Linked DNA regions of Cricetulus griseus. The main gene of each other region encodes a partner of the protein of the gene in region 3 in a complex. Links are inferred from orthologs where the notes say so. Each region holds a gene or a part of one and is shown on either strand. Other genes may lie near its edges. The genes, in order: Pold2, Pold4 and Pold1.

What was found.
Region 1: Pold1 (region 3) and Pold2 share a complex: the UniProt entries of both Homo sapiens proteins name them as parts of the tetrameric DNA polymerase delta complex. The link is inferred for Cricetulus griseus from reciprocal best matches to the Homo sapiens genes POLD1 and POLD2.
Region 2: Pold1 (region 3) and Pold4 share a complex: the UniProt entries of both Homo sapiens proteins name them as parts of the tetrameric DNA polymerase delta complex. The link is inferred for Cricetulus griseus from reciprocal best matches to the Homo sapiens genes POLD1 and POLD4.

What each region holds. Positions count from the first base shown.
Region 1 is NW_023276807.1:98,956,723-98,960,846, forward strand, and holds the start of Pold2 (DNA polymerase delta subunit 2), read left to right. Parts: upstream 1-1,298; 5' UTR 1,299-1,716; coding exon 1,717-1,717; intron 1,718-1,758; exon of another isoform or gene 1,759-1,909; intron 1,910-2,322; exon of another isoform or gene 2,323-2,383; intron 2,384-2,698; coding exon 2,699-2,974; intron 2,975-4,124. UniProt on the Homo sapiens protein: Accessory component of both the DNA polymerase delta complex and the DNA polymerase zeta complex.
Region 2 is NC_048596.1:55,018,274-55,021,804, forward strand, and holds Pold4 (DNA polymerase delta subunit 4), read right to left. Parts: upstream 2,218-3,531; 5' UTR 2,012-2,217; coding exon 1,915-2,011; intron 1,615-1,914; coding exon 1,525-1,614; intron 1,354-1,524; coding exon 1,242-1,353; intron 896-1,241; coding exon of another isoform or gene 871-895; exon of another isoform or gene 833-870; coding exon 796-832; 3' UTR 531-795; downstream 1-530. UniProt on the Homo sapiens protein: As a component of the tetrameric DNA polymerase delta complex (Pol-delta4), plays a role in high fidelity genome replication and repair.
Region 3 is NC_048599.1:153,410,733-153,414,376, forward strand, and holds part of Pold1 (DNA polymerase delta catalytic subunit), read right to left. Parts: intron 2,898-3,644; coding exon 2,757-2,897; intron 2,591-2,756; coding exon 2,480-2,590; intron 1,971-2,479; coding exon 1,779-1,970; intron 1,688-1,778; coding exon 1,599-1,687; intron 1,431-1,598; coding exon 1,314-1,430; intron 1,068-1,313; coding exon 954-1,067; intron 711-953; coding exon 563-710; intron 1-562. UniProt on the Homo sapiens protein: As the catalytic component of the trimeric (Pol-delta3 complex) and tetrameric DNA polymerase delta complexes (Pol-delta4 complex), plays a crucial role in high fidelity genome replication, including in lagging strand synthesis, and repair.

The DNA.
Region 1 (4,124 bases), on a different chromosome or scaffold from region 3:
TCAGTAGTTTCTTTGTCCATCAAATGGGACTTGTCCCTGGAATACAAGAATGTTTCACCCGATGTTGGTGGTGCACACCTTTAATCCCAGCACGTGGGAGGCAGAGACAGGCAAATCTCTGTGAGTTCGAGGCCAACCTGGTCTACTGAGTGAGTTCTAGGACAGCCCCCATAGCTACAGAAAAACCCTGTCTCAAAAAACCAAAAAAAAAAAAAAAATGTTTCAACATAGTATTTAAAAATGCCACAGACAACCTGCACCAGCAGGCCAACACCCCACACTCACCCCAACCTACATAGGAAACACTATTTGACAAAGTGAAATATTAAAAAAAACAAATTATTAAAATCATTATTAAAGCAGAAACAAGAGGCTGGGGAGGGGCTCAGTCAAGAGCACTAACCACTCTTTCAGAATGCTGGCGCTGGGCTCCAGCACCCACCGTTGAGTAGCTCACAGCACCTGTAACTCCAGCTCCAAGGGATCCCACACTCTTTTTGTACTCCTCTGAGGCCACGTGCATATACCCATACACAGACACACATGCATTGACACAATTAATTTTTTTTAAAAGCCACTAAAAACCAAAAACAGAACCAGGGTGTATTAGTGTGAATCCCAGATTCCGCTGGGTGATTGTTCTTTGCCTTGGTTTCCCTGCCTGTGAGATGGGAGACTAGCTCATGCTTCAAAGGGAATCTGAGAAGTGGGTGCAATGAGACCGGAGAATTCAGAATAGTGGCTATCTTGCACAGATTACTATGAGCTGCTTTGTTAGGACAGGCCTTCTGAAGCTGGAGCGAGTATCACAGCGTTGGACAGAGAGTTGGAGGAAAGCTTCATCCACCCAGGAGCCACCAGGTCACCAGAGCCAGGGAAGTGTGACATGACCCGGATTGAGAGGCTCAAAACGGCCCATGACACCCAACGTGCTCACACTGTGTAACCTAGCCGCAAACACTCGCATGCGCAGGAAATCTACGGGGGGGGGCACGTTGTCAGGGCAACCGGAGGCGTGGCTTCGCGGTCCCTCGGCCTCCAGAGGCGGGGCACATGAGGATTGGCCGGACGAGGCGTGCGGCGATGGGCGGGGCGGGGCGGGCGGCGATTGGCCGGATGCGGTGATGGGCGGGATGGGCGCGCGGAGATTGGCGGGATGCGGCGCGGCGCGGTGAGTGTGCTGCTGAGAGGGGTTAATGTGGGTGCTGGGCCAGGCTGGGGGCTCCCGGGGCCACGGGCTGGGGTCTCGATGGTGCTTCGGACTGCTGCGTAGGCCCGAGCTGGGGGCGCCTGCTGCGGGGCGGGTCGTCCGTCGCGTCTGGCTGCGGGCACCGTGTGGGCCGCTGCCCACCACTGCGTGTTCGGCTTACATTGAATTCACACGCGCCCTTTTGGCAAATTCGTTGAGTTCGCTTCCTACGCCAGAGCTGCACATTAAAGAAAGCAGAGCCAGCAAGAAGAATTTGAACTTTGTATTAGCTGTACCAAAAAAGTAAAATGAAAAGAAGGCTGTGTTCTAAACTTACTACATCCAGACTGTTGTCGTTTAACCTACGCATGAAAAATGTTTAACCAGCCGTTATTATTTACTGAAATCCTCCGTGCATCCCCGGAGCACATCTTAATTGGACTCGTTGTGGGACAATTGTGCAATACCTCCTTGAAGATAACAAAAACCGGCCTCCCTGGAACTTTGAGTGCATTTGGAGGAGGCAAAGTAAATGCTTGAGAGATGCAAACAATTGGAGTGGCAGATGTAGTAAATTAGGTGTGGGGAAGTGAGTTTTAAGGAAAGACTTGAAGGGGAAGATCCAGTGAACCTGTGGGGCACAGGAGAAGAGCCAACAGAGAGTAGACAGGCCTCTGCTGGAGCCCCTGCTGTGGAAAGGACACTTGGAAGGAGAAACAGGTGGGAGGGGAGGAACAAATCTTACAGGTAGTGTTAAGAACTTGAGGCTTTGTTTACTAAAATAGCAGCCATTGGAGAGTCTTGAGCAGAGCAGGGGCAGCTTTACGTTTTATTTTTATCACTAATTGTCTTATGGTTGGTGAGCACTCAGAAGTTAAGAGCACTGGCTGCTCTTCCAGCGATCCAGGTTCAATTCCTAGCATTCTCATGGCTGCTCACACCTGCCTGTAGTTCCAGTTCCAGGGGATCTGACACCCTCGGACAGACATGCATGCAGACAAAGCACCAATGCATATAAAATCAAAATTAAAAAAAAAATGCTGAGTAAGCCATGAGGAGCAAGTTAGTAAACAGCACCTCTCCATGGCTTCTGCATCAGCTCCTGACTCCAGGTTCCTGTTCTGTTTGAGTTTCTGTCCTGACCTCCCTCTGTAATGGACTGTGCTGTGGAAGTGTAAGCCAGATTATACTGTGGTAAGCTTCTTTGACGATGCTTGGCAGCATTCCCAGAAGTAAGGTAGTTTCCAAGGAAGTGAATGAAGGCAGATCAATAATTCTGTTGTGGGTATGCCGAATTTGAGACCCTGGTAACTGGGTAGAAATATGGAGGAGATGAACAGGGTTTGGCTCAAGCTCCAGGTTTTATCTGACTAAGGCTACAGGGTGCTGTCTCCAGACATATCTCGGTGCCCATCAGATGCAGTGTGGGCAGCTTGGTTGAGACACCAGGGGAGCTCCTGCTTCGGGTTCAAGTAGGAGTTGCAGGGGTGACTTTGTGTGTCTTTACAGTGATGCTCCTTAGCCTGGACACAGCGGCGTGGACAGAACAAGCCAGGAACGCTGCCATGTTCTCAGAGCAGGCAGCACAGAGGGCCCACACTCTGCTCTCCCCACCATCAGCCAGCAATGCCACCTTTGCCCGGGTGCCTGTGGCAACTTATACCAACTCCTCACAGCCTTTTCGACTGGGAGAGCGCAGCTTTAGCAGACAGTATGCTCATATTTATGCCACCCGCCTCATCCAGATGAGACCCTTCCTGGAGAGCCGGGCCCAGCAGCACTGGGGTAAGCTGCTTCTAACCTGTTAACACTTTCCAGTTACTGTGGAAACTTAGTGTTGTTAGCTCTCTGTTGCTTCTTAAGTTAATAATAATGAGGGTTAAATTAACCTGTGGGGTTAAAGTTAGGTTTGGCTCAGAGGCTGGTCTGAGGTAAGGACTGAGTTCTGGCAGTGGTAGCCGCTATTTCCTGTCCTCAGTGCAAGTTAGGCACCCTTCGCCCACTCTAGCTAGCTAGAGAGCAGGCCATGGCAGGCTGGGCACCAAAAGCCTTGGTCTTTGAGGGATGGACCACACCCAAGCCATAGCAGAGCCACAGGTACTTCTGTGTGGTGCTAGAGTTGCCTTCCTTCTGTGGAATCCGCTCCTCCGGGTGGAGCTCTGAGGAATGTTCTTGGCTGTTCCGGGGCATGAGTGTGGTTCTGGCCGAGCCTCCACTTCACCCTGCCTCCTCAGCAATTTGTTCTAGGGTTGGGTCTGTGCTGATGAATCCCTGGAACTTTCTGGAACTTGCATTCCTTCTTCCTACCCAGCTTGGCTTTCCACATCTTTCCTGCTGAGCATAAGGGACCTTCACTTGCGTTTTGGTTTGCCTCCTGGGGGCTTTGAATGAGCAAGGCTGCTGACTCCACAGGGAATAAAATGGACCGAGGTGGAGGGGACATCAAGTGGGAAATGTAAGGTATATTTTCAGAGGATGAAGCATTGGGTGGAGCAGGGGCTGACACATAAGAATCCAAGGTCTTAGTTGGATACAGTGGTGCACACCTTTAATCCCAGCACTTGGCAAGCAGAAGCAGGTGGGGGGTCTCTGAGTTTGAGGCCAGCTTGGTCTACAGAGTGAGTTTGAGGACAGCCAGGGCTATGTAGTGAGACACCATCTTGAAAAAAACAAAAGAATCTGAAGTCTTAGGACATGGTAATTGTCGGGATGTAGCATGTGACTGAGACGTAGGTAATGTGTTTCACAGTTGCTTCTTGTGGCCATGGTAATGAAGTGTTGTAAACAGGGGACTTAGGACAACATATATTTATTCTCCCATTGTTCTAAAGGCTTAAAGTCTGAAATTGGGTTTTCAGCAGGACTGGTGCCTTCTAGAGGCTTTAGAGTAGATCCTTCCAGTTTCTGGTGGCTCTGGGAGTCCCTGGGATTGTGT
Region 2 (3,531 bases), on a different chromosome or scaffold from region 3:
TTCTCTGACCCTCTACAGACCTCTCACCCTAATTTTACTTAATGCTGAACACCATATGACATAACTGATTTCCATGTTTGTTTTGCTATATTTCAGTGGTAGTAACACCCACGGAGACCTATGGTGTCAGAACATAATAGTTGCTTACAAGCTGGGCACCTCAGACAGGCTTTTTGCTGGCTGGTCAGGGAAGGAGACTCAGAGTGCTTTTCTAAGTACCACCAGGGGACACCAGAGGCTGCTCAGCTCATGAGAAGACTGCCTTAGAAAGACAGATAGGGAAGCCAGGTGGTATAGTGACACAGCCTTTAATCCCAGCACTCAGGAGGCAGGGGCAGGCAGATCTCTGAGTTCAAGGCTAGCCTGGTCTACACAGAGAGTTCCAGGACAGCCAGGGCTACACAGAGAAACCATGTCTTTGCGGCGGGGGGGGGGGGGACAGACAACACAAAAGCCTATAGCTGGCTCTCCTGCCTACTTACCTTTTGGGAACTGCCAGCTAGAGCAGAGTCATATTAAGGGACTAAAGGTCAGGATTTCAGGCTTAATGTACTTTATTGTAAGCGTTAGTGAACTCTTTGATTCTTCTGACATCTGGCTTTGAGTCAGGCTGTGCTGGATTTACTACATCAGAGAGGGTATGGCAAGCATCTGGTGGTCATGATTAGGCCCCGGAGGTGTGGTCTCAGGAGCATCAGGAGCCTGTTGCTTGGACAGGTAAGAGGCTGAATCAGGATGACCTCCACAGTCAGCCTGCTAACTGTTTCTCCAGAGCTGAGATGAGCAGAGCAGCATCTACTGGCCATGGATTCTGTCCAGAAGTTCTTGGTGGCTAGGAGGTGTCAAGGGAAGAACAACCCGGGTGGAACCTCAGAGTGGGTAGAGATGCCAGAGGCTGTGGGAGACAGGGGAGGAGGAGGAGTGCAGAGCAGAGTCAGTTCTATTCCTTGATGGATCTTCAGCAGTTCTTAACTATTGTGTGTGCTTCTGTGGCTTTGATGAACCCCCAGTACTCAGATAGCCCCATGGGCCCTGTATATACTCTTGCACCACCATTAGCTCTTAGAGGTAAGGATCATTAAAGGGGTCTGTCTTGAGCCAGGCACCTAGAAGACCCTTCTTACTTGTCAGGAAGGACCCCTTAAGTCTGTGCCCATTTCTCCAAGTCAAGGAAGCCCCTATGCAGACCAGAGAGTGGCAACTCCTAGAGAAGGGCCTGGTTCCCTGAAAGCTGTCCTGACCTGAATTGGAAGCGGGGGTCTTCAGAGTGTGTCTTCAGCACCTGGTGCACCTCTAGAGGGGGCTTCAAGCCCATCTGCTCTGCCCGATGCCAGCGCTGCATCCGTGTGATACCTGCCAGGGTGGAAAGAAGACTCAGCAGGGCAGAAGAGTCCAGGCTAGAGGCCTCCACACATGCCAGTCTCAGGAGACAGTGTTAGGCAGGCACTTGGATTATTTCTGAAACACATCGATGACAGAACTGGTTCAGAGATGTGCCTGGTGGGCTGGAGGTGGGGTTCTCACCTGTGCAAGGCCCATACTGCCAGGCCAGGTCAAACTGCCTCAGCAGCTCCAGCTGTGCTTCCTCCTGGCTGAGGGACTGGGTGTCTTCTCCTGCAATAACATGCAGCTCCTCAGGCCCATCCAGGCCTTTGCCCTACCCTGGACACAGCTGTGCCACTGGCTGTATCTTCACTCATTTGCCTTTGCCATCCAGCAGCCAGACAGCTCATCAGAAGTATGAGACATACTAGCTTCTCTCTCTCTCTCTCTCTCTCTCTCTCTCTCTCTCTCTCTCTCTCTCTCTCTCTCTCTCTCTCTCTCTCTCTCTCTCTCTCTCCTCTCCCCCCTCCCCTTTCTGGTCCTTGCATACTTGCATACCCACTCTTTCTGCCACCCCCACATTTCAGAGACCTAGCTCTGGTGCCAGCTCCCTCTTGCTGTGCCCAGGGGGCCCCTCCCTCTTCTTCACAACAGGGTAGGAGTCAGTGATGAACCGCTTCCGGCCCATGGCGGCCACCCAGGCAGGCGGAGCAGGAGGCAATAGCGGGAAAGAAAAGGCAGGGCAGTGGGCCTGTGAAAGACAGCTGCTGAGAGTGTGAGAGAGGGCCAGAGAGAGATGGGCCAGCGATGGACAGACAAGTTGACCCAGACAAGCAGAGAGAGGAAGTCCCTAGGTTCCAGAGAATGACGCCTGTCTTCCGCCCCCACAAGCACGCAAACATCAGAGCCTAAGCAAATGGCAAGCGGCCTTTGTGGGGCGGGACCCTAATTTTAGCCAATGGCAGTCGTCAGAGGGCAGGGGGTGGGGCAGCTGCTGCTGCGTCCGAGTGAGGAGGGTTTAGGCGGAACCAAGGACCTGTCAAGATGCCCCAGACTTCACCACCTCCTCCGGTCCCTCATTGGTCCACTTGGGTCCCTAGGGACATATAGAGAGTTATCCTCAGCCTCTCACTTCCCGTTTTTCCTTCCTAGGCAAATGTTCTTTTCAGCCTCACTAATCCCCGTGGCCAGTTTGTAAGTCCCCTGAGCCCGGCTGGAACCTTTTACTCCTGCCGGTTGGCCCCAGAGCGTTGTGGGATCAGATCTTTAGGTCCAAAGAGAGTTTGAACTAATCCTGGCCTTTTCCCTGCTCCTACCGGCCCCAAGAGACCTGGCTGGAGAAGCCCATGGGCTCCGAAGGCTCCTTTCTCACAGTCCGCTGGCAGAGACACTGTCCACCCAGCCCAGGCATGCGGTTGCTGTGTCCACTGTCAGGCCCGACAGCCTGCCTCTGTCCACTTTGCTAGTCAGGAAGATTCCATTCCAAGCAGGATGCCAGAAGTCTAGTCCCCACTCCCTATGGGTTCAGATCCCCAGTTCTCCCCCGCTGCCCCCTTTTGGTTTTTGAGGCAAGGTTTCTCTGTGTAGCCCTGGCTGTCCTGGAGCTCACTTTGTAGACCAGGCTAGCCTCAAACTCACAGAAATTGCCTTACAGAGATTTGCCTGCCTCTGCCTCTGCCTCCTGAGTGCTGGGATTAAAGGTGTGTGCCACCACTGCCTGGCATAGATCTCCAGTTCTTTTTTTTTTTTTTTTCGAGACAGGGTTTCTCTGTATTGCTTTGGAGGTTGTCCTGGAACTAGCTGTTGTAGACCAGGTTGGTCTCGAACTCACAGAGATCCACCTGCCTTTGCCTCCCAAGTGCTGGGATTAAAGGCGTGTGCCACCAATGCCCAGCTTAGATCTCCAGTTCTTAACTGACAGATATGCTCTGTTTCTTAGAAATGTGTATATAACAGAAAATAACATCAATAAACCTTTCCCTTATATTGGGCTTACCATGTGCCTAGAGCTGTACTAAGCAGTTCCCACAACCTTATTCAAAATAGACATCAAAAGAGTTTTGCAAGTGGGTGTAGGTAAATTGTGATCAGGGCTCTTAGTAACAGATACTGTGTAACTAGCCTTCCTTGTGCTCCAGAAGATCCCAAGCTTGCAGGGTAGAGGGGCATCCAGTTGTCAGACCTGTACAGGAAAGCAGAAGGAGAAAG
Region 3 (3,644 bases):
ACCTCACACTCTCTCACTGTTAATCGGTTTCTGTCTGAACCCTGGGTTGCCACATTGGTAGACATGAAAATGGGCACAGTCCTTTCCTATTCCTGTCCCAGCTGGTACTGGCCAAGATCTTCACACTTGGGACAGAGGACCCTGGAGCTTGCTAACAGGTGCCAGCAAATCCATCCTGGCTGTGTCGTCCCCCCCCCCCACTGCCCTGCCCCGCTTCCCTTCACAGGAAGGTGGAAGAGGCGAACAGAGGAGTAGCTGCTGGAATTGGAGTGTCCCACCAGTGACCCAGCATCCTGAGCGCCCACCTCATGTGACCCATTGGCAGAGCCCTAGAAGCCACTTGTGCTGTAAGCACTACCTGAGGCCAGAGTCTGTCCCGCTACACCATGAGCAAGGAGTACCAAGGAGAGGGACTCTGGTCCCCGACGACCCTGTATGTCAGAGTGCAGAGGCTGGCCTGATAGTTGGGATGCCTGCCATACCAGGACACCCTCTGACAGAACTGACCTCGAAATGCAGGCCAGCAGTAACCCAGCCACTCATTAGCATCCCAAAGGCTTACCTGAGAGATCTCCAAACATGGCAGCTTGCCCACCTGGGCACCAGTGAAGCCATACACAGAGTTGGCACTCACTTTCAGTGCTAGCTGCCGTCCATCCAAGACCTGCCGCCGCAAGGGGTCTGTCTCCTGAGCCAGCTCAGCCTTGGCCCTAGGTGGAGGCAGGATGGAAGCTGTTCAAGGGGACCATGGGTCTCAGGGAGGCACCTAGGCACAGACACTGGTCAGGGTGCCAAACATAGCTGAGTGTGCTCAGAATGTAGGCCCAGAAGGCAAAGGGGTGCTGTCCGGAAAGGAGCCTCATTTAATGTAGACACAGCTACAGATAGAAGACCTGGACTAGGTCACGACAGGGGAATCTAAGCACTAAGCAGGGCAGGGCTCCAGAGCCCACCTCTTCCGGGCACTCAGCAGATTCTCCAGGATCTGGGGCAGGAGGCCCTTCCGCACAGATGACTTCACAAACTCATCTCCAGTGGGTGTCTTGATGAACTCATCTGGTTTAAGGCTGGGGAAGGCAGAGGTACAAGAGACTGGGCTTTGGGCCTCCCTGGCTCTCCCCAGCTTCGCCCAGGCCCTGCTTCAGCCTCCCTCAGGTCAGCCTCTCCATTAGCCCCCCCACACACACACAGCCTGTCAAGTCCGTAACTCCCATGTCTCCTTTCCCTGGACCATCACTTCTTGGCCTGATCTATCAAAATGTAAAACAGGGCTTAGGATGGTTTGGGGAACATCCTGGATGAAGGCAGCATACCCCAACTTCTGGGCAGCCCCGGGCCGTAGCAGTGTGGTGTAGCACAGATTATGGGCCATCATGATGGATGGGTACAGAGAGGAGAAATCCAGGGTGGCAATGGGGACGTCATAGTACCTAAAGAAGGGTTGGAGAAGTAAACCCCCATCCTGCCCCTACCCTTGGCCCTTACCTTTAAATTTTTTTTTTTTAGATACAGGATCTTAAGTAGGTCAGGCAGGCCTTGAACTCCCCCTGAGTGCTGAGATGACACATGTGCCCCACCGTGCCCAGCAGGGTCCTCACCCTTTAAGGGGCTCAATGACAGTGGCTCCCGTGTAGTCCTCACCGCCCTCAGTCTTCACCACAGGCATCAGGAGCCCCTGGCGCATGGCCTGGAGAAGGGGTGGGGTGAGTGTCCAGGTACCAGGAAGGGTGTGTGCATGTATGTATGGTGGATGTGGCCAACGAGGTTCAGCCACCCACCTGGCGCAGCAGCTGAGACACGACCTTGACCTGTTGGCCCCGGCTGAGCAGGTATCCAAGGGGCACACCCGTGACACGCGCCATTTCTACATTGTTCACCAGCACCATAAGGCGCTCAAGCAGCCGAAGTGGCAGGAAGGCGTCCTTCAGGCAGTACACGGCCAGGCGGCGGCGTGTCTGCTCATTCCCGTTCTGAGGACAGGCATGTGAGGTCAGGGGCTCGGGCAGGGGGGAGGCAGGCGGGGGGGCAGGGGGAGAGGCAGGCGGGGGGGGGGAGGCAGGGGGAGGCAGGGGGGAGGCAGGGGGGAGGCAGGCGGGGGGCAGGGGGAGCAGGCAGGGAGGCGGGGGGCAGGGGAGGAGGCGGGGGGGCAGGGGGAGGCAGGCGGGGGGCAGGGGGGAGGCAGGCAGGCAGGCGGGGGGCAGGCGGGGGCAGGGGGAGGGCAGGGGCGGGGCAGGGGGAGGCAGGGGGGAGGCAGGGGGGGGCAGGCGGGGGGCAGGGGGGCAGGCGGGGCAGGGGGGCAGGCGGGGGGGGCAGGGGGGAGGCAGGCGGGGGCAGGGGGAGGCAGGCGGGGGGCAGGGGGAGGCAGGCGGGGGCAGGGGGGAGGCCGGGGGCAGGGGGGGCAGGGGAGGCAGGCGGGGGGCAGGGGGGAGGCAGGCGGGGGGGGCAGGCGGGGTTGGGAGGTCTTGGTGGATGGTAGCACCTGCAGGTCGGTGATGATGCTGTGCTGCACGTCCTCCTTCTGCTCACCCAGGAAGTGGAAGCTGACAGCATTCAGGGTGTAGGAGCGCAGCTTGTGCTCCCGCAGCAGCACCTGGGCAGGTTGGGACGGGGCAGGTTGGGACGGGGCAAGGACCTCAGGGGCACAAGGCACAGCCTCAAAGGTGTAGGAGGGGACCTGGAGGCTGTGGCACTCGGGGAGGTGCGGCAGGGTGGAGCCTCTTGAGGCAGAGTGTCAGGTGGGTGGGTCCCCCGCATACCTGCAGCATGTCCATCTGAACTCGACCCACCATGCTGACCACCTTACTGTCCCGCCGGCCCACCTGCCTCGACTGGAAGGAGGAGTCTCGGATGTTGGAGCGGAGACCAGTCACACGGCCCAGGAAAGGGAAGCGGTCCACCTGGAGAGGGCCAGGGGACAGCCAGTCAGCTCTGAACTAGGCCACATGGACAGGGACTAGCCATGGCATTCTTGGGGCCACTGAGGGCAGAGACTGCTTGAGAGGGATAAAGGAGACCAGGGACAAGGTTGAGAGCTATAGCCCTGGGAAGACTGAGAGACTGGTGACAGGTAGACACAAGGACTGTGCCTGGGGAGGGAGCAGAAGGAAGCCCCGGTGGGAAGGTTCTGAAAACCAGCAGGGGTGCCTTCAGAAGTTGGAATACAGACTGGCAGAGAGAGGGAGTCAGGGGAGGTGGAGCTGAGCGAGAGTCACCCAGGACATGAGGGCTAGTGTCTCCATGCAGCTGGGTAGGAAGGTCTGCTTTGCCTATTCACTACCAAACTGCTACAGATGCAGAGAGCAGGAAAATGGTACAGCATATCGTATTTGGGGCTGAAATGAACCCCCAGAAGATGCCTTGTATATCACCCACGACCCACTTGCAACAGAACTGGCCCTTGAAGAAGGATCAGACCAAACTGTGGTAAGGCCCAAACAGATGAGCGCCAGGGAGTCTCCACTTGGAGCCAGGCTCAGGAGGGCCTGCCCTGGAGCTCACAAAACACCAGCATCCCACACCTCCGCTGCCTCTCGTGTGCAGCTGGTAACAGTGGCTGGCACGAACAAAGCCCACATGTCCTTTCAACAGCACCCAGCCTTTGCCACCCACCAAAACAAACACCCATTTCCTTCTTCCAAGCCTCC